5 linked regions of the Canis lupus familiaris genome follow. Each later gene encodes a partner of the first gene's protein in a complex. Links are inferred from orthologs where the notes say so. Each region holds a gene or a part of one and is shown in the gene's direction. Other genes may lie near its edges. The genes, in order: MYO6, TOM1, GIPC2, CLTA and GIPC1.

Region 1 (6,302 bases):
AGAGGATTAAAGAAAACTTCTTCCTTTTTAAAAGTTTTTAAAATTTATTTAAGTAATCTAAGGCCACAAGGTGGGGCTTGAACTCAGGACCCTGAGATAAGAACTGCATGCTCTTCTGACTGAATCAGCCAGGGGCCCCAGGAAAACTTAGAGGGGACAAACAGTTTTTGTTCTGAAGGATTCATTGGATTTAGCTTGGCAACACTCCAATGTCATAAAGAGCATAATTGTTTTTTTCTGGAGACACCAGTACTTCAAAATGGCTTGTGTAAAGTACAAGAAATGGAGACAGGCTGTTGGTGGAAATGAGACTGGATAGGAAAGAAGGGCTAAGACAGTGATCCAAAATGCAAATGATTCCAAAGGCAAGCAGGTAACTGAATAAGCCTGGTTTAGGACAGCTTTTGGGGGTTTAAGACAGTGATGAACTGAGGAACAATGAAAAGGTATTAAAATTCAATTAAGAAAAAAAACAAGAGAAATCCCCACTGTGCTTCTTAAACAAAAACAATGGAAGGCTCACATAACACATCTTAACTAATTTGGATTTTATACTAAAGGTGGAGTGTCACTATAGGAGTTTAAAAACAGGATTACATAGACTTTTGTAAAATATAAACCTGGTGGCATTGTAGAGAAGATTATAAGGGGACAGGATTGCAGCCTGGTGAAAAGTTTAGCTGGCTAAAGTAGTATGCAAGATCTGAAATAATGGTGGCTTGAAATAAGATAATGGTAGTGGTTCTAAAGAAGAACTGGATACATTCAAGAGATACGGAACTTGAAGCAAAGGGACTCAGTAATGGAAGTGGGAGTAAAGGAGAACAAGAGAAAAAAAAATCACAAGTTATTACTCACGTAGCTTTTAAATCTTAAGTCCAAAAGGAACTCAAAGCTGTAAACAGATATTACTCTCTTCTTATTCTTGTTTTTCTTTTTTCCAATTTGTTTGAAATGTAGTTTTATACATTTAAGACCTACCTCCTGGCAATCAGAAATTAAATTTCTGAGATTGCTGTAAATTATTTCCTTTCTTGGTTCCTCTTCCTCTTTCTTACTTCCCTACTTCATTATTAGTAGTTTCTATCTCACCGTAATATCTCACCGTAACTTATCTTTTCCACCAAAAGAACTGTGGAAGAACTGAGTATCTGAAATTTGTCTCTTATCAGAATCTTGTAGATTTCCTGAAGTTTCCTACTTGCCACTCAGAAATGTTGAGGAAAAAAAAAATGTAATTATCTTGTGTAGGTCCTCTTAACTTTTTTCAACGGAGACATTTAGTATTACAATTAATCATTACCATTTCATTTCGTTGTAAAGGCGACGTATGTTTTCATCATATAATTCAATTTTGCATAGCCACTTCATATTTAATTTTCAAAGAGGATTTACAGGTATGTCACTTATAAAAACAGTAAAAGAGAAGATCGGGTTCTAGTCAGTAAATGGGGATTCGGGGGCCGGAGGAATACAAAATTTCCATCTCAGACCCTCTGCCACCCAAAGCAGAGAGCAAGACTGCTCCTGTCGCGGCGCAGCCCAGCTCAGCGCAGCCCAGCTCAGCCCAGCGTAGGCCAGCGCCTCCCAGCCCAGCTCAGCCCACCCCAGCGCAGCCCAGCGTAGCCCAGCCCAGCGCAGCCCAGAGCAGCCCAGCTCAGCGGAGCGCAGCCCAGCATAGCCCAGCCCAGCGCCTCCCAGCTCAGCGCAGCCCAGCTCAGCCCACACCAGCGCAGCCCAGCGTAGCCCAGCCCAGCGCAGCCCAGAGCAGCCCAGCTCAGCGGAGCGCAGCCCAGCATAGCCCAGCCCAGCGCCTCCCAGCTCAGCGCAGCCCAGCTCAGCCCACACCAGCGCAGCCCAGCTCAGCCCACCCCAGCCCAGCGTAGCCCAGCCCAGCGCAGCCCAGCGCAGCTCAGTGCCCAGCACAGCCCAGCACAGCCCAGCGCCCAGCACACACCAGCGCATCCCAGTACAGCCCAGCGCCTCGCAGCCCAGCTCAGCCCAGCACAGCCCAGCGCAGCCCAGCGCCCAGCACACCCCAGCGCATCCCAGTGCAGCCCACCCCAGCCCAGCGTAGCTCAGCCCAGCGTAGCTCAGCCCAGCCCAGCCCAGCGCAGCCCAAGCCGACCCGGACCGGAGCCTAGTTAGCAGCGGTTCTTCCCTCCGCAACAACGCCCTCGAGTAAAGCGCGTGGTCCTGGCCGCGTCTGAACACCTTTCTCCCTCCGTGAACTGGTTCTTGCTGTTGCCGGACTCCACGGTCTCCGCACCCGGGCTGGAGACAACCGCGGCGAGGAAGGCCGTGCCGCAGGGGGAGGAACGAGGCTGCCGGCCGGGCCCGCCGCGGCCCCTTCCCGCGCTCCAGCGCGCCCACCTCCGCCCGGGAGGCTGCGCGCCGCGGGGCGGGGGCGGGGGCGGGGGCGAGCGGCGCGGCGGGGCGGGGCGGGGCGGGGCGGGGCGGGGGGCTGCGGGCGCCCAGCGCCCCCTCGGGGAGCGCGCGCCTGCGCCCCCCGTGCCCGGCCGCCCCGGCCCGCCCCGCCCCGGCCCGCCCCGCCCCGGCCCGCGGCGCCCCCGCCCCCTTGGGCGCTCCGTAGCCGTGACGTGCGCGCGCCGGGGCCGGGGACTCGGCGGGGCGCCGGCCGGCGGGCGGAGACGGCCCCGGGATCTGTCCGAGCAGGAAGCTCGCAGGACCGCGGTCGCCGCCGCCGCCGCCGCCGCGTCTCCGAGCCTGTCCACGCAGTCGCCCTTCGCGCTCGACTTGGTTACCTTTCACCCCGCCCTCCACCTCGCCGGCCACAGGTAGCCTCGCCTCCGCGCACCTGCGCTCGCGGCCACCCCGGTGAGTGGCGCGGGGCCGCTCCTCGGGGCGTCGGCGTCGGCGTCGGCGTCCGGGCCTCGCGTCCCCGGGCCGCGCTGCTTCGGGCCTCCGCCGCCGGGGCTGACGGCCGGGTCTCCGCCCGGGATGCGCGCGGTGAGGCAGGTGCCGGCTGGGCCCGGCCGGCGGCTCACGGCGGTGCGGGGCTGGTTCTGGTTTTCACGGGTCTGTCGTCAGCAGGCTACCTGTGGGTCCCTTCCCTGCCCCCGGGTAGCAGAGCACTCCGGTGCCCCACCCGGACGTGGACGCCCCGTGGTAGTTCTTTCTCTTGAGTAAACAAGCTTGAAATCCAGCGCAGGAACAGTGCCGCCTGCTCGGAGATACCTTCGTATCAGGTGCCGGCCACTGTCGAATTGATAGTCTAGTCATGTAGAAGACCGGGTGGGACCGTCTGAACGGGATAATTTTAGTCCTTAGGTGGTCCAGTACTTTGAGTATGTTAATGGACATTTGTGCTACCGAACAAGAGCTTTTTATATTTGTTAATTTCCAAAAACTCCTTAAAACCATTCAGATGCTCCAACCCCGGGATGTTTTTTTTTAAGATTTTACTTATTTATTCATGAGAGAGAGAGACAGAGAGAGAGAGAGAGAGGCAGAGGGAGAAGCAGGCTCCACGCCGGGAGCCCGATGCGGGACTCGATCCCGGGACTCGATCCGGGCCGAAGGCAGGCGCTAAACCGCTGAGCCACCCAGGGATCCCCAACCCCGGGATTTTAAGTAGGAAGTAATTTGGTAGGGTTATTACTGGCACATCCGTGTCGGAAATACTATTTCTGTAGTGTTTAAGGAGACAGGTTACGTTTTATGGGGCATAAAGTTGTAGTGGAGGAATGTATGCATCCTAATCTACAGATACTAGTGAGCAGCTAGGAGCACTGCCGCAACTTCACAGATTGCTGTACGTGCTAAATAAAAGTTTCATTTGCTGTTATGCTCTGGTGGTGTAGATGCAAAGTATCTGAGTATCGTCAGGGTGTGAAAGTTTTAAAAATTCTTAAGGTTTAGTTGAAACTCTTCACACCATGAAATGTGAATCTTGAACTTGGGCTGGAATGGTCATGGTGCAAAGGTTGGCAGGAAAACAGCATATCTGTACAAATTAACTAAACTTCATAGATACCTTGGGTTGTGGTTTTATATTTGGAAATTGCTTCGTGAAAAAATTACCTTGGTATTTTTTATCATTAATTTTAGAAACATTACACATTGGGCTATAGCCAGAGCTTGAAACAATGCAGCCATTCAAAGTAACTCATTGACTTTTAAATATACAGCTCATGTTGAGTATTTTAAATTGCGCAGGAATTATACACACAGTGGTAAACAAGTCATTTTAGTCTTAGGCAGATTTGCCTATTGCGTTTGTGTGTTCTATGTGACATTGTTCTCCCAGTTTGAGTTACCTTTTCGTTTTCAAAAGGTAATTTTAAAAAGAAGTAAAAGAACTTTAGAAAGAGATTACAGGATTAAAAACTCTAAATACATATTATGTAAAACTGTAATACACGTATTCTTCATTAGTCCAGAAGCATGAACAAGAAAAGTGTAATGCATTATTGTAATATTTAATGTAAATTAATATGATGTATTAAGAACAGATCATAAGTCATAACCCATGGCGCTTATCTGAAGTGGATTTTTTCCCTCTGTTTATGTTTATGTGATCAAGTTTTAAAATAACAGTGGCCAGGAAATCTGAGAGAGGCTGAAGGCTCTTTTCTCATCCTGTTGTGACTTTGCCTGGAGACTGTGGTGTATCATGTAGCCCATTGTTTAGATAACTGGGCTGTCTCTGGGTTCTAAAGTACAGCTCTTTTAAGAAAGTTTTAAATTTTTTTGCTTTGTGAGGTTTGGATAAATCTAAGCACCCAAAACATTTTTTAGAAAATTAACCAGTTTTCACTGTTGATAATTGAAGCTTCATTTTGATATTTAAAAATGTCAGTTTTAAAAAGATTTCTGACCTCTGTGAAATTTTCATGTTTGTATATGAAAACATTTTCAGTAAAAGACTAAAAATGGTATTACTGCTTTGCTAACTCTCATACAGTTTGTGATCCCTTTAATGATGTACTTCATAATAATTCTGAACTGGCCCTCATTTTTTAAAATTAATGAATTAATTAAAAAAAGATTTTTATTTATTTATTTGAGAGAAAATGAGAGAGCAAGCACACAAGGGGCAGAGAGAGACGGAGAAGCAGATTCCCAGATGCGGGGGCTCTATCCCAGAAACTTGGGATCATGACCTGAGCCAAAGGCAGACACTTACCCAACTGAGCCATCCGGGTGCCCCTGAACTGGCCCTTTGGTAGTATAAGATCATCACCCACCCACTGGATGGAATTGGTATAATTCCTATACCATATAGGAATCTGGTATAATCAGAACACTGAGAGATTTAATCTACAAAATAATTTTCAAGGTTGGTGGTCTTGTCCTTTTACACATGAGGAAATTTAAGCTTAGAGAATTAAATATTTGCTCAAGGTCTTACAGCTCCAGAGGAACAAAGTCTGGATTCACACCTAAGTCTTCTGACCACGAAACCCTTGTCTTTTCCACCAGACCAGGTTGCCTTGATCTTAGTTCATTTGGTAGACTGTTTAAATAAACCTGCAGAACTGGTATTGTGTTAAAGAAGGCACACAGGAGTGAGGATGATATGGGTCATGAATGTGGTTCTGAAACTAATGTTGAATTTTGTTTTTGTTTTTTTTTCATTAAGTTGACAACTCTGAACAGTAATACGGTGTTGCTTTATCATTTCTGATGTAAATACCAGAATATTATACAAATCGTGTACTTTATTTTGGTGGGTTTATTGGAATTAGAATTAGACTGTAATATAACACTGGTTTTCTTTGTAGATAAAATGAATAGTACAATGTTCCTGTTTCAGATAGAACTTTCTATTTTTCTCAAATGAGATCGTTGTCCATAAATGCAGTACTGTCTTTTAAATATTACATAATTAAGTTCGTAACCCTTGCGCAGGGGGGCTTGTTTTCAAAGTATGATTAAATTGTCACCTGTACTATTAGAACAGTTTTTTTTATGGCCTTCATTTATTTCAGGAATGTCCTTTGAGCTATAAAGACATAAAGGATGAAAGTGAGCACACAAAGTCCATCTTTTGTAACAAAGTGTAGGAGTCATTTCAGCAGTAGAATGTGGTTGGGTAAATGAGAAGAAAAATGGTAAGAAGAGGCAGCCCCCGTGGCTCAGCGGTTTAGCACCGCCTACAGCTCAGGGCATGATCCTGGAGACCCGGATCCAGTCCCAAGTCGGGCTCCCTGCATGGAGCCTGCTTCTCCCTCTGCCTGTGTCTCTGCTTCTCTCTCTCCTCTCTGTGTATTCTCATGAATAAATAAATAAAATCTTAAAAAAAAAATGGTAAGAAGGCTGAGTTGGGTGACTGTGTT
Region 2 (5,523 bases), on another chromosome or scaffold:
CGCAGGTAGCCATTCGCACACGGCCTGGCCCTCCTTGGGTGCCCAGAAAGCATCTGTCATTCTCCTCCTCCTCCTCCTCCTCCCTGGCTCTTCCTGCCCTGGCTCTTCCCACCCTGGCCCCGCACCACACACCTGCACGCAGCTATCTGACTTTGTCCATCTGGCACCCCGCCGCCCCCCCCCCAACACACACACACTGTGACTTGTGCTCTCTCCTCTGCAGAGAAGGCAACAGATGGCTCCCTGCAGAGCGAGGACTGGGCCCTCAACATGGAGATATGTGACATCATCAACGAGACGGAGGAAGGGTGAGGCCTGCAGGAGAGACTGGAGTGGGGATGGGTGGGCCCAGGGATGGCCGGCAGCAGCCCAACCTGCCCTCCCCTCTGGAGGACTCCTGTCCCATCCCTGCTGTGGCACACAGGTAGACCCTGCTGGTGGCCCTTGGTACCAGGAGGGCTGCAGACATCGTCCAGGTCCCACCCTAGGCAGAAGTGTGGTGTTTTAGGCATTTGGGAACCAAAATCCCACCCAACACTGTCATTAGACGGACCAGAGAGAGACACGCCCCTGGCAGTTGTCAGGCCACGCGTGTTTCTCAGTGGTGGCCTGGTCAACTAGACCCCTTAGAACATCCCTGGGCCACATCCTCCAGGACAAGGCCAGCTGGCAGCCCCTGACATTGGGACATGGCCCCAAGCACCGTTCTGCATTCTGTGGCCTGGAATGGGCAGGGGGGGACTCCCAGCTTTCTCTATGAGCAATAGACTTTCATTTCCTTAAGATTGGGGTCAGGGGACACAGAGAAGACAATGACAGTAAAGCAGAAATGAGAACCCATCGGCGTTAGCCTCGCCTCAACATTTCCAGTATGCAGGTCACACCGGGGCGCATGCTGTGGTGGAGGCATCGTGGCCGTGGGTTCTTGGTCTCTGACTAGCTGTCACTGACCAGCCGTGTGACCTTGGGCAAGTCACTGTACCTCCCTAGGTCTTTATCCTCAGAGGTAAAGCTCTTTTAGATTCTTCCAGCAATAAGCCCAAGGTCCTGAATGGGGCAGAGAGGCCAAGCAGGGTCAGTGTCCTTCTCAGGAGAACCCAGAAAGGATGGGATATGGTGTGACCACTATAGCCATCAGGAAGGACGGCCTGACAAGGCCTTTGTTCTGGAAAATCAGAACAGCCGGAGCAGGACCTCTTCCATTCTCACTGGGATAATCCAGTTGGCCTGTGAGGTCCCTCTTAGCCAGGTAGTGCTTTGTGGGGAGAGGGGCCGGCTGGAAGCAGGCAGTGAGCAAGGAGCACCCAGCTCAGCACACAGTGGCTGCAGGCAGCTTCTGCATCCCCAGTGGTGCTCGGGGCTCTTGCCAAGCAGCTGGTAGAGGACACCTGCGCCACCCTGGCCTCCTGTGCATCAACTGGAGAGCGGTGAGCAGACGACAACAGCACTGAGATACGAGGACCAGACGAGGACTACCGAGATAAAAGGTGGAGGGCAGGGATGCTCACAGCCTCTGGGAAGGCCTGGGGGCTTCATGGATGTCCTTGGAGAAGCAAGCCCCCGCTTCCTCGTAAACATTGGTGGAACTGGGGCTCATGCGAGTGTGGGTTCAGTTGCTGCCGTTGATGTGAGCACTACCTGTGTTGCAGGCGCTGCATGAGGCACTAGGGACCAGCAGTGAGCAAAGCAGATGGGACCCTTGGCCTCACCAAGCTTGTCATCTAAACTCAAGTCTCTGGTCTACCCCGCACAGTGTTGTGGCCTCCTTGTCATCCACTCTGTGCTCCTGACCTGTTACTAGACACAAGAGGCCCCACAGCCATTGCACCTCAGCCAGGACTTCTGATTCCCAGTCTCTATGGGCCCCTCTATGAGAAGCGGAGACAGGTCCCTTTAGAGAGCTGAGGCTGCAGGCGAGGAGTTCTGAGGGTGAGGAGGGGCCCCAGTGCCCTGTCCTGGGAGAGGGGCCCAGCCCGCCAGAGAAAAATGAACATACAGCATGTCCTCTCCGTCACAGCCTTGATTAGGCCTCCATGGATCCTTCCCTCCTTCCCTGCCGCCTTCACCCATGTTGGGGGGCCCGTGTCAGGGTTTCTGCCTTTCCTGACTTGACCTTGACAGGGTCAGCACTGAACAGATGGCTGGCAGACATCCGGCCACAGGAGACATAGGAATCGTTGCTCATGCTCCTGGAGCGGGCTGGGCTCTGTCAAGGCAAAGTGTCAAAGGAGATGCCATCCCTGCCCTCTGGGAGGCACCTCTTTAGCCAGGCAGCACCTGGGTAGGAGCCACAATGCAGTGCGCACCAGGGAAATGGGGGACTGGGACAGCCTTGGGTGAGGCAGGTTTTAGCTGTGCCTTCACCAGGTAGGCATGGAAGTTGGGGGCCCCAAAGCTTTTTAGGCCAGAGCAGTTGGGGCCACATGGACTTCACCCAAACAGTGTGGAAGGACAGGACGCAGGGGTGAGGCAGTTCTGGTGGGGTGGGCGATAGGGTGGGGGTTCAGGCTGCCGCCAAGGCCTTCAGGGCTCCCTCCTGTACTTGGGTGTCTCCATCCTGCCTACCATGACCACTGGGCCTCTCCAGCCTCTCCCTCTGCCTCCCCACTCGGCCTCCCTTCAGTCCCTCCCACCCCTGCCTGAACCACTTCCCTTGCCGCCCACAGCTGTCTCCATCACTTCCTCACACCCAGCTGGGATGCCACCTCCTCTGAGAGGACTCCCCTGAGCCCCCTCCCCAACAGCCACTCTGACTGCAGGCCTCTCTCCCTCCCCACATGGATGTGGGTCTCCCCGGGACACGTGGTCCTTGAAAGCAGAGCCGCGTGTTCCCCAGAGTGTCCCCAGCACCCAGCATGGTGCCAGCACGTGTGGCTACTTAGACGAGTAGAAGGATGTGGCAGGGAGGCCAGGGAAGGGGCACTAGGACTCTATGCCTGCAGGTGACTGGTTCTCAAACCTCAGTGTACAGGGAGCCCCCGGGGGCATGGTGAGCACACAGCCTCCCCGAGGGCTTGGCTCAGGGTCTAGGCTGGGAGCCTGGGGCTTACGTATTTGACAAACCATCATGCCTCCCCCGCCAGGGGATTCTGGTGCAGGGGGTCCAGGGTCCATACACGGAGAATCCTTGCCAGGTATTTTGTGACCTACTGAGGACTTCTGGGGGCCAGGCAGTTTGTGTAGTGATTCAAACCTACGTGTTCAACAGGACACAGGACAAATAAATGCCATGGCCTGTGTTCCATGCCTCCTCACCTTAGTTAGGCAGGCAGCCCCATGTGTTGGATAAGAAGGTTCCATTCCTCAGCCCATCTTTCCCTTTGTCCTCCTGCCCAGTCCCAAAGATGCCTTCCGAGCAGTGAAGAAGAGAATCGTAGGAAACAAGAATTTCCATGAGGTGATGCTGGCTCTCACGGTGAGTGCCCTGTCCATCCGTGTGTCCATGGTAGAACCACACCTCCCCCCAGGCCCAGCAGGACTCCAGCCGCCCTGGGGCTCCTCTTGCAAGGGCTGGGAAGGAAAGGTCTGCGGGCGAAGCGCTGTCCTGTGTGTGCTAGGCAGATGCAGAGTGGCATGAGAAGCCACTTGGAAAAGTTCTCTCCAACCTGCTGGCCTGGGGAACAGACTGAGGGGCCCACATCTCTCCAGAACGGGTCACGGAGAGCTTGTGCCACAGAACCTGCCAGGTGACATAGAAGCTCAGTAAACCCAGACGTTGGCAGGGCAGAAAGCCTGGCAGGCCACACTGGGTGCTGACTGGCCCTTGAATGCCCTGAAAAATGAACATAAAGCAAATCCCAGTGGCTGAGGACAAGCCAGGCAAGAGGGGACATCCTGGCTGTCTCAGGAGTTTGGCTGGGATGGAGATGAGAGCACTGTGTCCCAGCCTCCCCTACAGCAGCACTCGCATCCAGGGAGTCTGGCTACGCTGAAAAGGCACTCGTGCCCAGCAGTAGGAACAAGAAGCAGGGAGGGAAGTTCAGTGCCTTTTTCTGGGGCTGCAGGGTCACCAACTGATTATGAAAGTTCACTTTGGTTTCCACTTGGAGAGCTACCCGCCCCCTGAAGTAGTCACTTCAGAAGCAGCATCAGGATAGGCACCCCTCAGTGGGGGCCGCTAACCAGCACACCAGCCCCCGAAACACGGCACGGTCCCCGCTTCTCTGGGTTCCAGAGTCTCCCTCTAGGGAAACGGTCCCCCTCTCAGCCCCTCTGGGATGGAGACCGAATGCGAGGATGGGGTCCTGGGCGCTCCCCCTCCCCTCATGAGTGCTCATGGGTGCCTCCCGGCCTCCAGGTCTTAGAAACCTGCGTCAAGAACTGCGGGCATCGCTTCCACTTGCTGGTGGCCAGCCAGGACTTTGTGGAGGGCGTGCTGGTGAGGACCATCCTGCCCAAGAACAACCCCCCCACCATCGTGCACGACAAGGTGCTCAACCTCATCCAGGTGAGTGCAGGCGGGCAGGCCGGGAGGGCGTTGGAGGCTGCCCCGCCATTGTTGCTCTTTTCCCCTTTGCTTCTGTCTGTTTCTCCTGCGGGGCCGTGTGGGGCCGTCTTGTTTATGCATTCACTGAAGGGTCTGAGTGTGGGGTGGCCTTGCTTGGCAGGGCCGTAACTCAGACACCAACAATCAGGGAGGGACTTTTTGCTCTCTGGGGATGGGCAGGCGGCTTACCAGGGAGACGGTGAACAGTGGTTACCGGCCGTGTCCCCTTCTCCCCTCTCAGTCCTGGGCTGACGCGTTCCGCAGCTCACCTGACTTGACAGGTGTGGTGGCCGTGTACGAGGACCTGCGGAGGAAGGGCCTGGAATTCCCGATGACCGACTTGGACATGCTGTCACCCATCCACACGCCCCAGAGGGTGAGGAGACGCCACCTGGGGAGCAGTGTGAGGGAAGGTGGGGGATCACCACCCACCCCACTGGCCTCGCTGATCCCACCTTCCACCATCTAGACCGTGTTCAGCTCTGAGGTACCATCAGGGCAGAATTCCGTGGGCACTGACGCCAGCCATGGAGGAGACTCCACCCAGCACACCACCTCCCTGCCCATCCCGGCCACGCTCCCCAGTGACACACCCATCACACCCACCGCTGAGCAGGTAAAGAAACCTGAGTCAGAGCCACGCGTGGGTCAGGGAGGGCCCCTCTCGGTATGTCATCGTAGCAGCCCCATAGGGTATGTATCATTCATCCTGTTTCAAAAATGAGGCTTAGACAAACTCCTTTGCCCGGAGCCACACACAGGTCCTCAGAGATGGTGGTGGGATTCAAGCTCAAGGGTGCCTGACTCCCAGCAGGCTCTGTCTTGCACCCCAGCCAGCGGTTCTCCAAACTGTGTACTGTGTACCGTGTACCCCGAGGAGCCCTTGAGGCAGCACCCAAGAGGGGATGGGGTGGGGAGTGCCCAACAGGCAGCCTCTTCAACCACATCACCTGCATTTTCTTTGTGGGATTTATGTGCTCAAATAAGATTCCATTTGAACAGAGGTTCTGGCTAAAAAAACAGTTTTAAATTTATCT
Region 3 (6,078 bases), on another chromosome or scaffold:
TTCAGGTCCTGAGATCATGTAGCAATATTCCATTTTCAGGGAGTATGAAATAGACTACGTTTATATTAATTTCTAAAGCCCACATGAACTGGAATATGTTTATACTAAATTTTCAGCCATAGAACAAAACATAAAACAAAAATATTAAAATTAACCTAAAGAATTAATAGATCCCCTCTCTCCTTCAGGACATCTGCTAACCTTAATTTGAGAAACATGGATTTTCAGAACTGAACTGATGTGAGAATGGGGGAAAAGGAAAAAAAGTTTGGTGTGATGAGTCAAGGATGTCTGGTTTGTGTTACTGAGTACATTATCCTATTTTCTGAAATCAAGAGTTAAAAAAAAAGATGCTTTGAGTTAAAGGATGAGTTTGTAAAATCCCACTTTGAGGCTCCTGCTTCCCTTTGTGGTAGACTGAGCTGCAGATATAAATTTGGAGGTCAACAATATCTATGAAACCAAGAGAACAGATGTGGTCATTCAGGGAAAGCACGTAGAGTAAAAAAAGATGGCCAAGAAAAATAACAGCCTTAGAGCAAACAGTTCCTGGAAAGTAGCAGTTAGCAAGGAGCGTGAGAGGTAAGTCAAAACAGAGGCATGTTTTAAGAATAAGATGGTCAATGTGCAGTCAGATACTCTAAAAGGTCAAGTAAGATAAAGATTGAAAAGAGTTAATCATATCTGATGTTTAAGAAGTGATCAGAGTACAAGCAATTTCAGTGGCGTGTGGGGGCAAAGTCTGATCACCGGCAGTCTTAAGAGCTAAGGGGAAAGTGAGGAAAAGCAACCTAGCAGTCGAGATTATTTTTGCTTTGTTGTGAGGATGTAGCTAGCTCCAGGCTACTGCAAAGGTAGGCCTTGGAAACCGTGGAAAGGACTTGGGCTTCCGACCACCAGTGAGTGGCACAGGATGGAGAGCAGGACAGGACTTAGCAAGTAGCTTAGAAATAGAGATCCTAAGAGTTGTTCAATCACCATGTTGTACCTGACACATAACACTATACGTTAATTATACTGGAATTGGAAAAAAAAAAAAAGTTCGCAGAAGGGCGCAGAGATCAAGTGCAAGGGTCAAAAATATAAGGAAGAGATTTCTTAGGAGTTTGGAGACCAGAGGGGAGTGGAGTTACTCGGAGGGGCGGGGAATTGGGGGGAACTGACACCTGGCACAGAAGGGCTTCAATCTGCTCCGTAGGTTAAGGGGCAGGAGAGTCCCCGGCAGGGGCCCAGGTGGGCGCGGGTGGCGCGCAGGACTTGGGGAGAGCACTGAGCCTCCGGGGGCCAACAGTGCCCAGGGACGAAGTAAGCAGGGTCCCCGAGGCTTAGAGCGTTTGGCTGTGGCCTGAGCGCGCACCAGCCCCTTCCCCTTCCCCTTCCCCTTCCAACGGGGCCCTGCGCGCCGCGGGGAGGCCGAGCCCCGGGCCTCCCCTTGGATCCCGTCCCCAGGGCCCGGCCCCGGGGCGCCTTCCTCGGCGCGTGAAAAGCACCGGAGGGGCCGGGGTGCTTGGATTCGAAGACGTGTGGTTCGGCAGCTTCAGCATCTCAGGGCTCCGACGGAAATCGGGCCATTAAAAAAAAAAAAAAGTGGGGAGGGGAGCCCGGGAGCTGGAGGCTGGAACGGGCCCAGCCTCCCGCCCCGCCGCGCTCCCGGAGGCAGGTGGCCGCGGCGCTGCAGGTGCCGCTCCCGGGGGGGGGGGGGGGGGGGGCACCTCTCCATTGGCCGAGCGGCGGCTGTCACCTGCCCGAGCCCCGGCCCAGCGCAAAGTCCGCGGCGGCAGCGGCAGAGGCGGCGGCGGGCGCGCAGGTGGCCCCCTCGGCCCGGCGAGATGCCCCTGGGGCTGCGGCGGAGGCTGCGGGGCAATAAGCCCAAGGAGGCCGCCCGGCTCGTGAAGGTCGAGCCGGTGGGCGCGGGCGGCGGCGGCGGCCCCTCGGCCCCCCCCGCCCCCCCGGCGCCCCCGGCGCCCCCGGCCGCCCAGCGCAGGCTGGTCTTCCACACGCAGCTGGCCCACGGCAGCCCCACGGGCCGCGTGGAGGACTTCGCCAACATCCAGGAGCTCTACGCCAAGATCGCCGCCGTGTTCGACATCGCCGCCGCCGAGGTGAGCGCCAGGTGCGCCGCCCCAGCCCCGCGCGCCCCTCCCGCCCCTCCCCTCCCTCCCTGCTCTCCCCTCCGTGCCCGCGCCCCTTCCCCTTCTCTCCCCTCCCCTCCTCTCCCTCCCCTCCCCTCCTCTCCCCTCCCGCGCCCCCTCCCCTCACCCCCTCCCCTCCCTCCCCTCCTCTCTCTCCCCTCCTCTCCCTCCCCTCCCCTCCTCTCTCTCCCCTCCTCTCCCTTCCCCTCCCGGGGCCCCCTCCTCTCCCCTCCTCCCTTCCTCTCCCCTCCCCTCCTCCTCCCCCCCTCCCCTCCCTCCTCTCCTTCCCCTCCCCTTCTCTCCCCTCTCGCTCGTCTCCTCTCCCTCCCCTCCTCTCTCCTCCCCTCCCGGCACCCCCCCCCCGCGCCCCCTCCCCTCCCTCCCCTCCTCTCTCTCCCCTGCCTCCCCTCCCCTCCCTCCCCTACTCTCCCCCTCCCCCTCTCCTTTCCTCTCCCCTCCCCTCCTCTCTCCCTCCTCTCCTCTTCCTTCCCTCCTCTCCCCCTCCCTCCCCTCCCCCTCCTCTCTCTCCCCTGCCTCCCCTACTCTCCCCCTCCCCCTCTCCTTTCCTCTCCCCTCCCTCCCCTACTTTCCCCCTCCCCCTCTCCTTTCCTCTCCCCTCCCTCCCCTACTTTCCCCCTCCCCCTCTCCTTTCCTCTCCCCTCCCCTCCTCTCTCCCTCCCTCCCCTCCCCCCTCCTCTCCCTCCCCTGCCTCCCCTCCTCTCCCCTCCCCTCCCCTCCGGCTCGCGCCCCTCCGTTCCCGTGCCCCCTCCCCCCATGCGCACCCCTCCGTTCCCCTTCGCTTGGACGCGCGCCCCTTCGTGCCCGCGCCCCCTCCCCTCCCCTTCCTCCCCTTCCCTCCTCTCCCCTCCCGGCCCCCTCTTCCCGGCGCCCCCTCCCCTCCCCCCTCCTCTCTCTCCCCTGCCTCCCCTCCCCTCCCTCCCCTCCTCTCCCTCGTCTCCCCTCCCCTCCTTTCCCCTCCCTCCTCTCCCCTCCTCTCCCCTCCGTGCCCGCTCCCCCCCTCCCCCCCTCCTCCCCTCCCCTCCGGCGCGCCCCCCTCCTCTCCCACGGGCGGCGCTACCACGGGCCGAGGCGCAGGGGTGCTGGCGCGCGGAGCCCGCCCACGGCGCCCGGGGGGAGCGGGAGGCCTCGGGGGAGCGGAAGGCTGAGCCCGGGACCGGGAGCCGCGTTCCCTGGGCCTGTCCTCCGGGGAGCCGGGGGCGGCCTTTCTTCCTCCTGCACACGCGTGTGCCTTCCGGGCCGGAGCGCCTCCCGGGAGTGGGGACCCGGCGGGGCTCGTAGCAGCCGCCACTTCTCCTGGACTTTACTCTCCCTCCTCAGCGGGGGGGTGGGGGGTGGGGGGTGGGGGGCGAGCATCTCCGGGATTTAGGCCGGGATCGCGGAGTCCGAGTCCGTAGCCCCGCAGGTGGCTTGTCCGCGCCGAGCTCCAGCATCCCTTTGGTTGAGTTCCCGGGAAGTTGTCTACACCGCGGGGGCAGGACTAAGACTGGAGAGAGGTAGAGCTAGCACCGTGGGATTCGCTGACAAAACTTTCAGGGGGAAAATCGGCTCTGAGTTTTACCCCCTTTCCTGTCAAAAGGGGCTGAACTTCTCATTAGATTGGCTGCCTGCGTGCCTGCGCGGTGCGGTCTGGAAAGCGCTAGTTTTATGGCTGTTTATGGGGCTGCTCCATCTACGCTTTCCCCCGCGACCTGCCAGCCTAAGAGAAGTTGGCCCGAGGAAATATTTTGTCCACCTTTCAAGGAAAAGCAGGAGATGCTGCCCTGGACTGCGGGGAGGGCACAGAGCTGCCTTTGGGTTTCTGATCTTTAATGTTGTTTTTCAGGCCTGTTCAAGTAAAATTGAGGTCACGGCAAAATTCCAAGGGGAGATGAACGAGAGCCTGAAGCGTAACCTTTTGTTCTTTCAGGGTTCCCAGGCACTGAGGAGCAAAGCACAACCGCATTTTGTGAATTATTTATATTGACCTAGAGAAGTAACAATAATTCGCGTTCATATGGACGTTTAGATTCAAAAAGCACTTTCACAGGAATAACGTCCTTCCCTCTAGGAGAGGCAGGTGGCGTGTAGTTCATTGGGGACCTAAGGAAAGCATTTGGAGACGCTTAAGCCTGGATGGGAGTCCAGGTTCTACCCACTGGCTGTGGGGTCTTGAACAAGTTTAACTTCCCTCATTTTCAGACAAATATAAAACGGACAAGAAAGGGGGTGCCTGGCTGGCTCAGTTGGTAGAGCCTGTGACTCTTGATTTCAGGGTGGCGAGTTCGAGACCCATATTGGATGTGGGCATTCCATGAAAATACAAATCTTCAAGAAACAAACAAAACAAAACAAAACAAAAACGAACCCAGACGAGAACATCTACCTTGAAGGGTTGTGAAGACTGGAGTTCATATATAAACTTATCAGATTGCATGGTACATGGTCCTGCCTCACAAATTGTAACTTGTATTACTAATATCTAACAGTTAAGTGAGGAGCTGAGGCACAAAGGGATTGGGCCTTGGCCAAGGTCACATAACTAGCAAGAAAAAATCTGGGATGTTATTTAAACTTGGATCTTCTGGTTTCTAAGCTAAGGGAGTTTGTTAGCATACTTAACTGACAACTTGAAATGTTTCTCCTGTAACCAACGGCTCCAGATTTAGATGCTTTGCATTAATAGCTTTCCTCATTCTGAAGCCATGGCGTGTGGGACTTTATTCAATCCACTTAATTCCTGAAAAAATATTATTGATATCACTGCTTCAGAGAGGAAATGGGCTTTGAGGTTCACAAACTTTTCAAAATTACATAGTGAGTAGCAGAGCCTGGTTTAAACCCAGGTGTATTTGTTTATTTATTTATGTATTTTTTTGCTTTCCCTGACTCCAAATTCCATGAACTTCTATTTTGTATTGCTTCCCAAGTTTTCCAGGGTGTCTGTGATACCTTTGGCAGCCATTGTCAGTGTTTTCAGTTTCCAACACACTGAATTAGGAGATAGAAATTCCAAGATAACATAATCCTGCTGTATCAAGGTTCATGTATTTTTTATAACTCCAAACATATATATCTGTTTACTTATGCATATACCCAACATTAATGTGAGTTTTCTCTTTGGATTAAGAATAGTTGGGACTCCTGGGTGGCTCAGTGGTTGAGCGGCTGCCTTTAGCTCAGGTGGTGATCCCCGGGGTCCTGGGATCGAGTCTCGAATCGGGCTCCCCGCAGGGAGCCTGCTTCTCTCTCTGCCTGTGTCTCTGCATCTGTGTCTCTCATGAATAAATAAATAAAATCTTTAAAAAAATAGTTAAGTATATCCAGGATAAAGTATTGGTCATCATAGTAGAGTATGTCCTGAGTATCTCAGTAGTTAATTTTGAAACAAGTAACTTATTAAAATGCACTGTGGTGAGATCCCATTTCTAGTCTCACTCGCCCAGCAAAGGGAATTGTGAGCTGTCAGTGGGAGCAAAAGAAAAATCCCATCCTCTCCCTTAATAGGTTCAATAGATCGTTAGCTCAGAAGCCCTGCCTTTTTTTTTATAGAGAGGTGGCTATAAAGGTTATAAATAGCTCAGCATGAAGAGTTGAACTTCCTTTACTAAGGGGAGGGGGAGGGAAGGACTTGGCCTGACCTGATTTCAGGTGTGGCAGATTTAGTGGGAGCTCATAATATGCCCATGGCTGTGCTGGGCATGTAAGTCAGTCCATCTAGCGCGGTGTTCCAGCCTCACCGGAGCACTTAGGTAAGGGTTCTTTTCATTTTATAAAGCTAAGTGAGGCTCTGAGAAGTTAAGCAGCTTGCTCAGGGTCACTGAGCTGGAATTGGGCAGAGACAGGATTTGAATACAGGGTTCCTGGTTCCATGGCCATTACATAGCAGCTAAGAGGTTCTTGGTAACTGCATTCAAACTTCAAATACAAACCCAGAAAAACTTTTTTT
Region 4 (5,999 bases), on another chromosome or scaffold:
GCAGCTCTAGGCTAAAGACACTAGAAAGCCTGGATCATTTTAATTCAATCAAGGAATTATAGGATTTAAAGCTGAGCTTTAGTCAACACAGTCCAACCATGTAGCCCTTCAGGATCCCAACTAAAAACCTGGTACAAGTTATCAGGGTCCTCTTTTCTTTTCAGTAAGCCCTCAACTATTTTCTCCTCCCACCCTTGTTTACTGAAAGCTCTACTCAGCTTCTCAGTCTCTGCTTTTAGAACAATCTCCTTGAGAGAAAAAATAGCTCCAAACCTTAGGATCACTTTTCTCGGCTTACCCTCCTCTCCTAGAACTTGGGCCTACACTTGCTCACTGCTTTGGTAATCCCCTGATGCCTTCAGAGAGATTTTGCCTCCTTGCCCAGCTTTCACATTCTCTTTCTAAAATAAAATATATCTAAAAAAACCAATTGTCTGACTCTCCTGCCTCCTAAATGCTATCAGTTACCAAGCTCGGTGTACGTTCCCTCCATTATTTTCTTTCCATCAGAGCCCACTGCTCTGTTCCCTGAAATATCTTGGCCCTGGTCCTCCCTCCTGAACCACTGCAGCTTCAACTGCAGCACCTTCCCTAACAGACCTCTCTGCTTTCAGAACCCTCTCATATGCTTACACTGCCAGAAGATTCTTTCAGAACAGGGTTCTAGGTTATTGCCTGCTTAAAGTATTTCAAAGGTTCCTCATAACCGGTGAAATTCAGTACTAATCCTCACCTGGGCACTCAAGCCCTCCCTGACTTGACTCCACACTTGTTTTCAGCTGTGTCCATCTATTTTCAGGAGTGAGTGCGGTCTGTCCCTCAGCCACGGTTGTGAGCATCCAGACTTGTCTTCTTTGGACCCTCTCATGGTCATCCTTTCCCATTATCTTCTGCCCAGGGCAGGAGTGATTAACTTAAAGCAGCCTTTCTTTCCAAAAAGATGAATGTGAAACTACTTCATAGGTTATCGATAATATGTTTATGTTAGGGATGAGCATTAAACAAGAAGTGGGAGGAGAAAATTGAATTGCAGGGCCCAAAATTTTAGGTGTCCAATGTTTTTCTTCACAATTTTCCTACATTCCATACTTAAAATGACTAAAAATACATGCTTTAAACAATTACCTCTTTTTGCCACTGAAGACGTGTATTTTTAAAAACCACTTTCCTGTCCCTTGCTATCTCTGGAGACATCTTTGACCTCTGGTTGGCTGGTTTTTGTTTTTTCCTTTTTAGGGAGTGGTGGTGGTGAAGGAGAGAGGTCCTCCTGTTGGCCATTGCTTATCTCAACAAGAACACGGTTAACTGTGATCACCCAGTATCACTTCTATGCTGTAGATGAAACCCCCTGACGTAAGATAAGATACTGAAGGAATTTTAGAGAAAGCTCTCACTCTTCTTAGGCTGACAAGATACGTCCATCCAGGAGGCTGTACCATTACCAAGGTGCCCAGAAGACCTGGGTTTCCTCTTGATGGCTTCCTGTGTGATTTTAATCCCTTCCCAATAGAGGGGTCTGTTTCCCTAGGAAATTCCTAGGTGGTCCCTAAGGAGTGTTTCAGTTCTAGAAACTTCCGTCTAGGGATCCCTGGGTGGCGCAGCGGTTTGGCGCCTGCCTTTGGCCCGAGGCGTGATCCTGGAGACCCGGGATCGAATCCCACGTCGGGCTCCCGGTGCATGGAGCCTGCTTCTCCCTCTGCCTGTGTCTCTGCCTCTCTCTCTCTCTCTCTCTCTCTCTCTCTCTCTCTGTGTGACTATCATGAATAAATAAATCTTTAAAAAAAAAAAAAAAAAAGAAACTTCCGTCTAGCCCTGATAAGATGTACTGGCTGCAAAAGGGCTTTGGAAAGGAGAGATAGTCACCTTTTTAGAATACCGTGGGGTAGAAAAATCAGAGTGGATTTGAATCCACCACGTTTAAGTCAGGCGGCTCCACACGGGAAAACAATCCAGGTGAGGCGAACGAATTAACAAATACAAAGTTTTTAATAAAGCCAGTACACAGCCATGAGAGGATTCATTCTTCCCAAGAAGCCTGGGAGGGATGCAGTGCAGGATTCACGAACGAGGAAACCGGGGTTCAGAAAGCCTAAGGAGCCTGCCTCCTCGGTAGTCGACCGACGATCGTTGCCGCCCTCATTTCACCTCACCTCTGGCTTGGGCCCTGGGGTCTCCTCAGAAGCGGCAGTCCAGGGTCAGGGAGCACCAAAGGCCCAGCGGGGAAGGCCGCTGAAGTCAAGCCACTTCCGCCTCCCTGGGGCCTCGCTGGGCTCGCCACCCTCACAGCCGGCGCAGCCCGAGTCACGAGTTTTCCTCGGGGACCCGCCCCTCCGCCTGCTGATTGGGCAGTTCGGCAACGATTTCTGTGCTCTGATTGGTTGTGACCGCCCCGGCTCTCCCACACCGCCTACACCAACCGGATATACGGGCAGGGTTTCCGCTTCCGCCTTCTCCCTCCCGCTTGTCGTCGGATCGCGGTCGCCGCCACAGCTGCCGCTGCGGGGCGCGGTGTTGGTGGGTCGGTTGGCTTGTCTCTCAACGCCGGTGTCCGTGCCGTTGAACTGCCCGCCATGGCTGAACTAGATCCGTTCGGCGCTCCCGCCAGCGCTCCTGGCGGCCCCGCGCTGGGGAACGGGGTGGCCGGTGCCGGCGAAGAAGACCCGGCCGCGGCCTTCTTGGCGCAGCAGGAGAGCGAGATTGCGGGCATCGAGAACGACGAGGCCTTCGCCATCCTGGACGGCGGTGCCCCCGGACCCCAGCCGCACGGCGAGCCGCCGGGGGTTCCGGGTGAGAGTGCGGCCGCGTTTGGGGCGGGACGATTTGTATAGAATGGGCCCTGAGTGGGTCTGAGCGCTCTCTGTAACTCTTGGTTCTTGCTGAACCGGGAGATTAAGGAAGGTGCAAAGAGGAAACGAGACCCCGGCCCAGTCATAGCAGAAACCTAGGTTCGGGGAGCCTGCTCAGTGGTAGGAGTATGTTTGAGTGCCCCCGGACGGGGCAGAGCGAGAAAGCTAAGAAAAATTGGGTGACAGTCCGGCTGAAGAGCTCGAAGAAGCCCATTCAGTTCAGGAACTTTTCAATGAGCACTTGCTGTGCTTTGAGCCTGGGGCTTTGAAACAGCCGCATTGGCGCAGTTTTTGGCCAGACTTAAAGGCGAGCCTGAGCCCGGCACGGAACTAGTTATTAGGAAAGGAGGGCAGAAAGAATGATTATAGTAGTATCGTTTTTTGAGATATGTACAAACAAAAATAGCAGCGCAAATCAGCATTTAAGCACTTCAGGTATGCAGAATGTTGGATTATGGGGAGGGAAGGAGGCGTGAATAGTGAACTCGAAAGGTGATCTAATCCTGGACGAAAAAACTCCAGCCAAAGAAGGGTGAGAGTTTTAACCTTTTGTCGATCGGATTATGGCCGGTATTTCTGGAGCTCTACTTCCTCTGAGAACAGCTTTGGTAGGGCAGTGTTGCCTAAGCAGAATTTAAGATTAGCCTAGACTGGTCTTCCAAAAGGTGAATAGAGAATGTGGTGTGGCCTTTTCCCAGCCAAACTCAAGCAAAGTGACAAAAAAAATAGCAATAGGATGCGGGTTTGACCTTTGAATGCCTTACCTTTGTGTGATACTTGGAATTACGGTGGGAAGAAAAGAGGAGTGGAAGAGACCTTTTCAGTTGTATGAGGAAGTAGGAAATTAGCTGGAAGAAATGAGACCTGGGTTTTCATTTACTTAAACTATTCAAATTAAAGGAGAATAGGGTGCTGGTGGGGCTGATAGGAGTGTTTATATTACTCTAACCTCAAACCTTAAGGAGCCAGGCAGATGACATAAATGAGAGAAGCCTGCTGGGAATGGGACACTATGGAGTGCTGGAGACTGAGGTTTTGGTGCACTAAAGTTGTGCTTTGTGAAAGCAGACTCAAATTTCAAATTACTGTGCCAGTCAGGTGGAACCATTTTTGTGTGTAGGGGTAAGGAGACTGTTCATTTGAAACCTCAGAGTTTTTATACTGCACCATGTTACCTCCTAAGCGAATCAGCCCCCGCATAAGAACTTACACGAGAACATATGATACACCTGTAAATGTGAATTACAGCAGGCAGGTTGGAGTGACCTGAGTTGTGGCTGGGAGATGAAGTTAGGTTTAGTAGGGTTTTTGTTGTTGGGTGGTGTTTATTAACATTTGCCTGAGAATCCTAAAAATTAACTTCTTAGATCCTTAGTTTACTGCTCCTCATTTAATAAAAGAAAACTTGAGCCCTGCAGAGAAATGACTTGCTTAAGAAAAAAGGGCAAATTACTAGCTATGCCCTCAGTTTCCCTACCCGTAGACCGTACCATATTCTGGTGCAGTTGTTTCAGCAGGGGTAACATGGTACAACAGACTGTCATTTCTGAAAGGCAGTGTGGCTGTCTTGGGTAGGACGGAGTTGGGAGAATCTGGACCTGTACCTAGAAAACTGTCCCGATTCAAGGACAATGTTACTCTTGCTTACAGTTGTATCCCGGGCACATAGTAGATAACTCACAAAGTCATGAACAAAAATACCAGGGCCAAGAGTCCTGTAGAGACAAATCTTGATGACGGCAGTTTGGAGAGGTAAAAGGGAGAGGGTAGATATGGACACACAGGTTTCTTGTGCATTAAGCTTTCAGCAAAGGGAAGGAAAGGATGATTGCTGACTTAGTTTCTAGGAAGGACTTTCTTAGTGGACTAAGCATTTAGTGATTTGAAGCCAGACCTCTGACAGTGTTGTTGAGGTCGGCAGTAGTGCAATGGTCAGCACTTCCTTCGGGGAGTAGAGAACTAGTTGGACACTTTTCTTTCCTTTGAAAGAGGCATGCTAGTGGTTTAGATTCTGTGCTACCTAAACTGCTTGAGTGTGATTTTTAACTTTGTGGTCTCAGGCAACTTAGGTAACCACCACTGCATTACCTTAGATTTTTCGCCTGTAAAATGTACAGATCTATACCACACAAGGTTGCTAGGATTACATTAGTACCTGAAAAATGCATACACGCAGTACTGGGTATATCACTGCCCCAGTACCTGACTATACTCATTCCTCAGGAGTAGGGGGAGGGAGGCATTATAAAGCCTATAGGCTTTGGGGTGTGCTGAGGAAACCGATTTTAGGAGGGAGCCCTGTATCTGATGTGTTACTATACCAGAGCTACATCGGCAGGAGGCTCTTAACAGATGGAGGATAAAGAGGAACATAGCTAAACTCTTCCCGGCTCTGGGGAAACTCCCAGGAAGGATGATAGCAGGCAGAAACCAGAAGGCCTGAGCCTTGAAGGACTCCTTCAGTTGTTAGAAAACCTGGAGAAGAGGTAGTTTAGAAGTGGGGGGTGACCAGCAGAGTGAAGTGGATCAAATATTGAAGAGCAAGTGGTGAGGAAAGAAGAAGCAGCATGAGTCTAGAGCTGTTGAAAAGCCCTCAATTTTCCTGAGGAGGGAGGAGGAAAAAAGGTGACTAAGGAGCTGCTGTGAGTGTGGCAGTGAGGCACCATTTGTTTCTGACAAGTCTCTCCTTGGAGGAGGAGGAAGAAAGGCAAATAAATTAAAGCTTTCTGGAAGAGGAGATGAATTTTCTTGGTAGCAGTGGTCGAGGGAAGTTCAGGGAAATTGCACATGTGATAGTTTGTAGTACTGCACGCTTAATGAATGCTGGTTCTCTGTAGCTTCAGATCCGTGCAGTAACTGCAGGCTAGGTAGTGGCATCCTATTTCAGATAAGGAATCATCAGGGAACTTAAGCAGTGTTCCAAAGGTAGCAAACTAATACGTCTCCACTGTAATTCAACCCACATGTGCTTGACTTCAGTGGATGGGCACCATGGGAAGTCGTGGGTAGGTTTGGGACAAATTGTCTGTCTTCTCTGGAAACTTATACTGGCCCTTTTTTCTCCCTGGAGTTCCTGAGATGCCCTACAAAGTTTCCTTTGGGGGCATCTGGTTTCTTAGCTTAGCTGTCCTAATAAATCAGGGCCTTTGATAT
Region 5 (6,064 bases), on another chromosome or scaffold:
TGGGACTCCATCCCAGGTCTCCAGGATCACTCCCTGGGCTGAAGGCGGCGCCAAACCACTGAGCCACCCGGGCTGCCCTATCTTTCTTTTCTGAAAAATTTTTTATCAAGGATCCAATTGAAGATCATACATTGATTTTGTTGTCATTGCTATCTCCTTCAATCTAGAACTGTTCCCAAGCAGTTCATTCATTTACTCACTTATTAACACATTGATTGTTCGTTTCATCACATAGATCTATTTGAAGAGTCCAGGCATTTTTGCTTTTTGGTTTTGGGGTTTTTTTTGTTGTTGTTGTTGTTTGTTTGTACATTGGCAGAGTCCCTTCATTTGGAAGTATCTGGTTGTGTCCTCATGATTAGATCCAGGTTAAGCACTCTGGACAGGACCAAGTACTCTACAGGTGATGTGTCCTCAGCACATCACAGGAAGGGGCATACGAGGTTAACTTTGTCCCATCACTGGTGATGTTACTTTTGGTCACTTGGTTAAAGTGGTGACTGCCCGGTTTCTCCCTGGTGCTTTTTCCACGGTATCTTTCCCCCACTGTAATTAACAAGTAATTTGCAGGCTGGTCCTTTGAGATTGTGTGAATATCTACTTCCTCCACTGAGGATCCTCGCCTGCATTAATTATTTCTCTACTGGCTGCAAAATGGGGATTTTCCAACTCAGTCTTTCCTTCTGCGTGTATTAGCTGGCATTCCAGATGTTTTTTTCCAAAGGGGACAGAGGTAGTAACACTGAAGTCTGAGCTCCCCAGCTTCTGGGCCTACTAGCCCTTTGAACTATAAAATTGGATAAAGAGTGGCTTGCTCTGTACCCTTGGGCAACACCCTCACCCCTCCTTAGGCACTTCCTCATCAGTCAACAGGTGGATTCAGGTGGATTCTGCTCAGGACTCTGCTGTCCCCATGGCCCCACATATTGTCCTCTTCGGGTTTGTAGAGGGCAGCTCAGATGCCAGGCACAAGCAGGGCAGTGGGTACAGTCCCACAGAGGCCCAGCCATAGCAACTGATCACTCAGTGGGGATGGCAGAGGTCAGCAGAACAGGAAGAGAAGGACAATAGCGGTGCCTGTTGCATCAACAGTGGCAGCGTTTGCCAGCTGGGTGGGGCCAGACTCGCAGCCCTCAGCAGCTAAGCCGGCCCCGCTCTCCTCTTTCAGTTTGCCTCTCTGTAGGCCCCGGTGGGGCTGGGATGCACAACAGCTCACCCTGGGGACTGCAGAGACCCAGTCATTCAATGAAGCCTGAGCAGAATTGCAGCTGTTAGAGGCCTCCAAGAACTACAATTCCCAGAACACACAGCAAGCTCCTGGTCCAGCCCCAACTGCCCCAGAGGCTGGCTTTGAAGTAGAGCAAGGATAGCTCATCTGTCCTGGGAACTGAGCATCCTGGTCTGTACAAGGTGCATCTGTGTCTTTGTTTCTTGGACCTACCCTTGCCTGAGACATCCCAGTCTCGGGGCCTCACCAAACCTGGTGATGGCGAGGTCACCTGGTCCTCTCATTCACACAAGTGCTCTGAGAGGCTGCTCACTGCCAGTCTCAGGACCCCAGCAGGGGTGAGGGGGCACTTAGATGGAGGAGACAGCCTCATGAAAGGGCAGAGGCTCGGAATGGTTGGGGACCCTTTACAACCTAGCACATATTATGTGTTCAGTAAATATTCACTGATTTAACCAACAAGCGAGCAGTCCATCTCGATCTTGTCTTCCTTCCATGCACCCTTTCACACAGTTTTGCTAGCTCCTAGGATATTGCACTCTCCCAAAATGTGTTGTATCTCTCAGTCCAGCTTTCAGGCCTTCTGCACGAGCTGTTACCTCCACCAGAAGCACATTCAGCTTATTCGCTTTAGTAGCTGCAGACGTAGGACAGAGCCTGGCACGGAGCAGGGGCACATGAAATATTTGACGAGTGAGGGAATGAATGAATGAATGAATAAATGCCCTTGTCCATTGTACACCCCAGGAAGCAGGGACACTCGGGACCCTCCCTATTCATCTCGCTCCTCCGCCCGCTCGCCCGCCCGGAATGAATGCATCCTTTTTATCCGCTCACAGGATGGCCAGGCTGGGGCAGGCGCAGACAGGGAGGAGGACTGGGATCGGGGGCTGCCCTCGGCCCCTTCCTAGGTCTCCTAAAGGGTCAGCTCTTCCGGACGTGGCGAGTTAGCCTCTGCCCGAAACTCGGCCCGCGTCACCTGACTCCCACGACCGGCCCTCCCGCTCCTTACCACCCTGGACACCCCAGACGGACACTCCGCCGGCAGCACGTGGGCCAGGGACCCCAGCTCCCCATTGGTTGCTCGCCTCCTTCCTTCCCCGCGATTGGCAGGGGCCCAGCCTCAGGTCCCCCCTCCGCGCCCTGCGGTGGTACAGCCTGCCGCGGCTTTCGGCAGGGTGGGCAGGTCCACTGCGCCGCGGCGCGGGGGGGCCGGGAGGAGCCGGGCGAGGCGGAGGGATCCCTCTGGAATGCTTCCGTCGGGCCCACCCGGCGCTGGGCGGCGCGGCGCGGATTGGCCACGGGCGTCGGGCGGCCGCTCCTGATTGGCGCGCTGCGGGCGCTGGCCCCGCCCCCCGGCCGCGGCTGCGGGAGAGGCCCGGGCCGGAGTTTGCGGAGGGCCGAGCCCGGAGCGCGCGGGTGGCGGCGGCGGCGGCGCAGGTGAGTGTCCCTGCGGGCGGGGCACGGCCGCTCCGGGGACCCCAGCGCGGGCCCGCGGGGTCGCGGACCCATGGGGATCCGGCGGATCGAGCGAGTAGCGGGGGGACGGCCCCGGGGTCGCTGCTGGAGGTCTAGGTTGGGCCCCAGGATGCCTGAGGCCCCTTCCCCCGGAGGCGCCCATCTTCCCGCCGGGGGCCGGGGTCAAACACCTCCCGCCTCTGAGATGGGGTCGGCAGCCCACCCTGCCCCCTGCACTGCCCTGGACAGCCCCGTCCCGGCGGGCTCGGCATTTCTGAGTCCTGCCCGGGCACCTCCCTCGTCCCACCTTGGCCTCGACGCGGCCCTCCAGGGCCGAGAGAGGGACCTGGAGAGGACTGAGGTCCCGGTAATAATCATGAAAAAATCACCCCCGGCTAGCACTGACTGGACGCTTCCGTGTCAGGTATTTACCATGCACATCGTTGCGTCCAAACACCTCATGGAAGGTGCTGTTACTTCTTTTAGAGGTGAAGCAACAGACCCGGAGAAGTGGAGTGACTTGCCCAAGGTGACACAGCTAGTAAGTGGCAGGGCTGGAACTCGAACCCGTGCTTCGGAGTCCAGAACTGGAGTCTCAGCCGCTAGACTAGATGGCTCCATGGATCAGTGGCCCAGTGGCTCCGTGGCTCAGGTGTTCCCGACCAGCTCCTCTGCCCGCTGCTGCCTGCATCCCCCAACCATGCATGTATCTGGGCCACACCTGCTGGTCTTTGCTTCCCCCCAAGAGGTCCCCGGACACCAACCCTGTCTTGCCTCCCCGGACCTGGGAAGGCTTGCCTGAATACCTAGGTCCTAAGAAGAGAGTGACATCTGCAGGGGACATAGGAGGCCTGGATGCTGGGGTCCTTTGCCCACTGGGCCCCTCTGGAAAGCCTGCGCTGAGGCCCAGGCAGTAGGCGTTCTCCCCGGAAACACCCGGGAGCCGGTTTTTCAAGACTGAATCAGAGGCCTCCCGCCTCCCTGCCTCCCGCCTCCCGCCCTCCCCTCCAAAGCAGTATCCTACTAGAAAGGGGAGGTTGGGTGTGGTGTCTCTCCCCCCACCCAAGCTTTTGTCAACTCCCAGGAACTCCCCTCCCCACTTCCTGCTGCCCTCACTGTGATTCTGCTTGGTGGTGGGGTTGCTAAGTTTCAGGCCCCTCCCAGGGAAGCGAGGGTGGGGATGCTAGGATTCCAGCCAATGCGCTTGGACCCCCGGCTGACACTTTTTCCACCATCCCTATGTTCAGGTTTGAGGGGACACTGGGAATGTGGGGAGGAAGTGTCAGTTAGCAACCCCACAGCAGGCATGTTCTGAGGATAGGAGGGCTCAGAGAGGAGTCTGAATGAGGACACGAGGCACGCACACCCGTCCATTCTGCAAACATTTACTGAGCACCTCCCATGGGCCAAGCACTGTCCTTGGCACAGAGGGCATAATAGCAAACAAGACAAAAATCCCTGCTCTGTGGGAGCCGCCGTCCTAGTGGGGAAAAGGGCAGCAAGCAAGTTAACAAGTAGATAAAGACAGTACCCGCGGATGGTAGTAAGTGCGTGTGCTATGAATAAAATATGAGGGGGGTGGCCGGGTGGAATCTGTGGTAAAGGGGGTGGCTTTTGGAGGAGGCGACTTTGGAGACAAGATCTAAATGACAGAAAGAAGGTGGCCCAGCAAAGGTCAGGCAGGGGGCCCAGCCTGGGCAAAAACTCTGAGGCTGGATGGAGCTTGGGATAGTGTGTGGGGGCACGAGCTGCCGCCAGAGTGGCAGTTCTGCAGGGGCCTGTGGCTCATATTAAGGAGTTTGGGGCTTTTCCTCTGTAAAGGTAGGAGACCGCTGTAAGATTGGAAGCCGGGGAGTGACGTGATCTGGTTTACATTTTAAAATAGAGACACGAAGTGAAATAGCAGCCTGGGACTGAAAGACAAGAGTTCTGCCGGGATAATGTGTAATTAAGTTCATGGGCCTTGAGCTGTCTGGACCACAGGGGCAGTTCCAGCAGGCTGGGGCAAGCCAGGGAGGCTGCCTGGAGGAGGCCACCTAGACTAGGCCTCCGCGGACAGCAGACAGCAGAAGCACAGACTGGGATGTTCCTGGGCGGTGGGGGGGGGGGGGGTGGGGTGGGCAGGGGAGGAGGCCATAATAATAATGACAATACTAGTAACAGTTTTCTTAAATTGAATGTCAGGCAAAATGCTAATCGGGTTGTCTGCACAATCTCTTTGGATTCCCATAAGCACCTGGAGAGAGACAGGAATTCCACCCATTTTTCGACTGAGAAAACTGAGGCTCCATCACATGAAGTGACACTTGCCCACGACCACGCAGCTGGTAAGTGGCAAGGATGGGATTTGAACCCAGGCCACCCTCCTTGGAGCTCAGAGAAGTTAAGATACTTGCCCAAGGTCACACAGCTAATAAGTGGAGAAACCAGGTTCCAGACTCATGTTCTCAGCATCCCGCTAAGATGTATGAGGGGCAGCAGGAGGAGAACAGGGGAGGTGATGATGAGGGGTTTGGTTTGGTTTGGTTTGAAGCATCACTGAGTGTGTTGTAATAATCTGAGGGGGCAGTATGGGTTTATTCATTCAGAATTTGTTTTTTATCAGATATTAGGTGAATGCTTAGTGTGATGTGTGCTATGGTTAGATGAAGTAATCAATAAAAGACTAGTATCCCAAATATGTAAACAATTCCCAAAAATCAATAAGAAAAAGATAAAGGCAGGGCAGCCCAGTGGCTCAGCAGTTTAGCGCCACCTTCAGCCCAGGGCTTGATCCTGGAGACGCAGGATCGAGTCCCACATTGGGCTCCCCGCATGGAGCCTGCTTCTCCTTCTGCCTGTGTCTCTGCCTTTCTCTGTCTCTGTGTCTCCCATGAATAAATAAATAAAATCTTAAAAAAAAAAAGAAAAGAAAAAGATATAGGCATTACAATAAAAAACAAACTGTGCAATTTTTAAAAATGGGCAAAGACTTAGACAATTCACAAAACGACAAATCCAAGCAGTTAATAAATGTCTTAAAAGTTGTTAAGCATTACTCAGTGGTTGAGCGTCTGCCTTTGGCTCAGGGCATAATCCTGGGGTCAAGGGATCAAGTTCTGCATCAGGCTCCCCGCAGGGAGTCTGCTTCTTCCTCTGCCTATGTCTCTGCCTCTCTCTGTGTATGTCTCTCATGAATAAATACAATCTTTAAAAAAAAAAGCTGTTAAGCCTGGAGTGCCTGGGTGGCTCAGTTGGTTAAGCGTCTGACTCTTGATTTCAGCTCGGGTCATGATCTCAGGGTTGTGAGATCAAGCCCCACATCAGGCTCCACACCGGTTGTAGAGCCTGCTTAAGGTTCTCCTCCACCACCACCCCAACCTTTCCCTGCCCCCATGG

Evidence for each region.
Region 2: the proteins of MYO6 (region 1) and TOM1 are in contact, whole or in part, in a crystal structure (PDB 6J56), measured with the Homo sapiens proteins. The link is inferred for Canis lupus familiaris from reciprocal best matches to the Homo sapiens genes MYO6 and TOM1. Residues at the interface, in NP_001355794.1 of Homo sapiens: Ile1182, Phe1184, Trp1202, Gln1214, Glu1216, His1218, Asp1220, Lys1221, Pro1222, Ile1224, Leu1226, Glu1234, Met1235, Cys1236, Leu1238, Glu1242, Thr1243, Gly1244, Leu1245, Arg1247; in NP_005479.1 of Homo sapiens: Ser440, Glu441, Phe443, Phe446, Leu447, Arg450, Ala451, Ala453, Ala454, Asp455, Leu457, Pro458, Asn459, Leu460, Ser461.
Region 3: the proteins of MYO6 (region 1) and GIPC2 are in contact, whole or in part, in a crystal structure (PDB 5V6H), measured with the Mus musculus proteins. The link is inferred for Canis lupus familiaris from reciprocal best matches to the Homo sapiens genes MYO6 and GIPC2. Residues at the interface, in NP_001034635.2 of Mus musculus: Ser1055, Lys1056, Trp1057, Lys1058, Tyr1059, Arg1084, Arg1085, Leu1086, Val1088, Tyr1089, Trp1092, Lys1093, Asn1096; in NP_058563.1 of Mus musculus: Glu255, Leu256, Tyr257, Met258, Gly259, Ile260, Asp262, Asp264, Leu265, Thr268, Thr289, Leu290, Asp292, Phe293, Ala294, Pro296.
Region 4: the proteins of MYO6 (region 1) and CLTA are in contact, whole or in part, in an NMR structure (PDB 6E5N), measured with the Homo sapiens proteins. The link is inferred for Canis lupus familiaris from reciprocal best matches to the Homo sapiens genes MYO6 and CLTA. Residues at the interface, in NP_001355794.1 of Homo sapiens: Met1053, Thr1054, Pro1055, Met1058, Ala1059, Met1062, Ser1087, Trp1089, Lys1090, Tyr1091, Glu1113, Arg1117, Leu1118, Val1120, Tyr1121, Trp1124, Asn1128; in NP_009027.1 of Homo sapiens: Glu47, Asn48, Glu50, Ala51, Phe52, Ile54, Leu55, Asp56, Gly57, Gly58, Ala59, Pro60, Gly61.
Region 5: the proteins of MYO6 (region 1) and GIPC1 are in contact, whole or in part, in a crystal structure (PDB 5V6E), measured with the Mus musculus proteins. The link is inferred for Canis lupus familiaris from reciprocal best matches to the Homo sapiens genes MYO6 and GIPC1. Residues at the interface, in NP_001034635.2 of Mus musculus: Ser1055, Lys1056, Trp1057, Lys1058, Tyr1059, Ala1060, Arg1084, Arg1085, Leu1086, Val1088, Tyr1089, Trp1092, Lys1093, Asn1096; in NP_061241.1 of Mus musculus: Glu273, Ser274, Tyr275, Met276, Gly277, Ile278, Arg279, Asp280, Glu282, Leu283, Thr286, Asp310, Phe311, Ala312, Pro314, Glu316.

The regions. Positions count from the first base shown.
Region 1 is NC_049233.1:37,583,387-37,589,688, forward strand, and holds the start of MYO6 (unconventional myosin-VI), read left to right. Parts: upstream 1-2,620; 5' UTR 2,621-2,798; exon of another isoform or gene 2,799-2,838; intron 2,839-6,302. UniProt on the Homo sapiens protein: Myosins are actin-based motor molecules with ATPase activity. Unconventional myosins serve in intracellular movements. Myosin 6 is a reverse-direction motor protein that moves towards the minus-end of actin filaments.
Region 2 is NC_049231.1:29,799,736-29,805,258, reverse strand, and holds part of TOM1 (target of Myb protein 1), read left to right. Parts: intron 1-223; coding exon 224-308; intron 309-1,649; exon of another isoform or gene 1,650-1,929; intron 1,930-3,336; coding exon 3,337-3,415; intron 3,416-4,297; coding exon 4,298-4,447; intron 4,448-4,727; coding exon 4,728-4,862; intron 4,863-4,955; coding exon 4,956-5,102; intron 5,103-5,523.
Region 3 is NC_049227.1:69,374,414-69,380,491, reverse strand, and holds the start of GIPC2 (PDZ domain-containing protein GIPC2), read left to right. Parts: upstream 1-1,829; coding exon 1,830-2,102; intron 2,103-6,078.
Region 4 is NC_049232.1:52,990,083-52,996,081, forward strand, and holds the start of CLTA (clathrin light chain A), read left to right. Parts: upstream 1-2,430; 5' UTR 2,431-2,570; coding exon 2,571-2,787; intron 2,788-5,999. UniProt on the Homo sapiens protein: Clathrin is the major protein of the polyhedral coat of coated pits and vesicles.
Region 5 is NC_049241.1:48,541,558-48,547,621, forward strand, and holds the start of GIPC1 (PDZ domain-containing protein GIPC1), read left to right. Parts: upstream 1-2,574; 5' UTR 2,575-2,668; intron 2,669-3,172; 5' UTR 3,173-3,227; intron 3,228-4,870; exon of another isoform or gene 4,871-4,919; 5' UTR 4,920-5,013; intron 5,014-6,064. UniProt on the Homo sapiens protein: May be involved in G protein-linked signaling.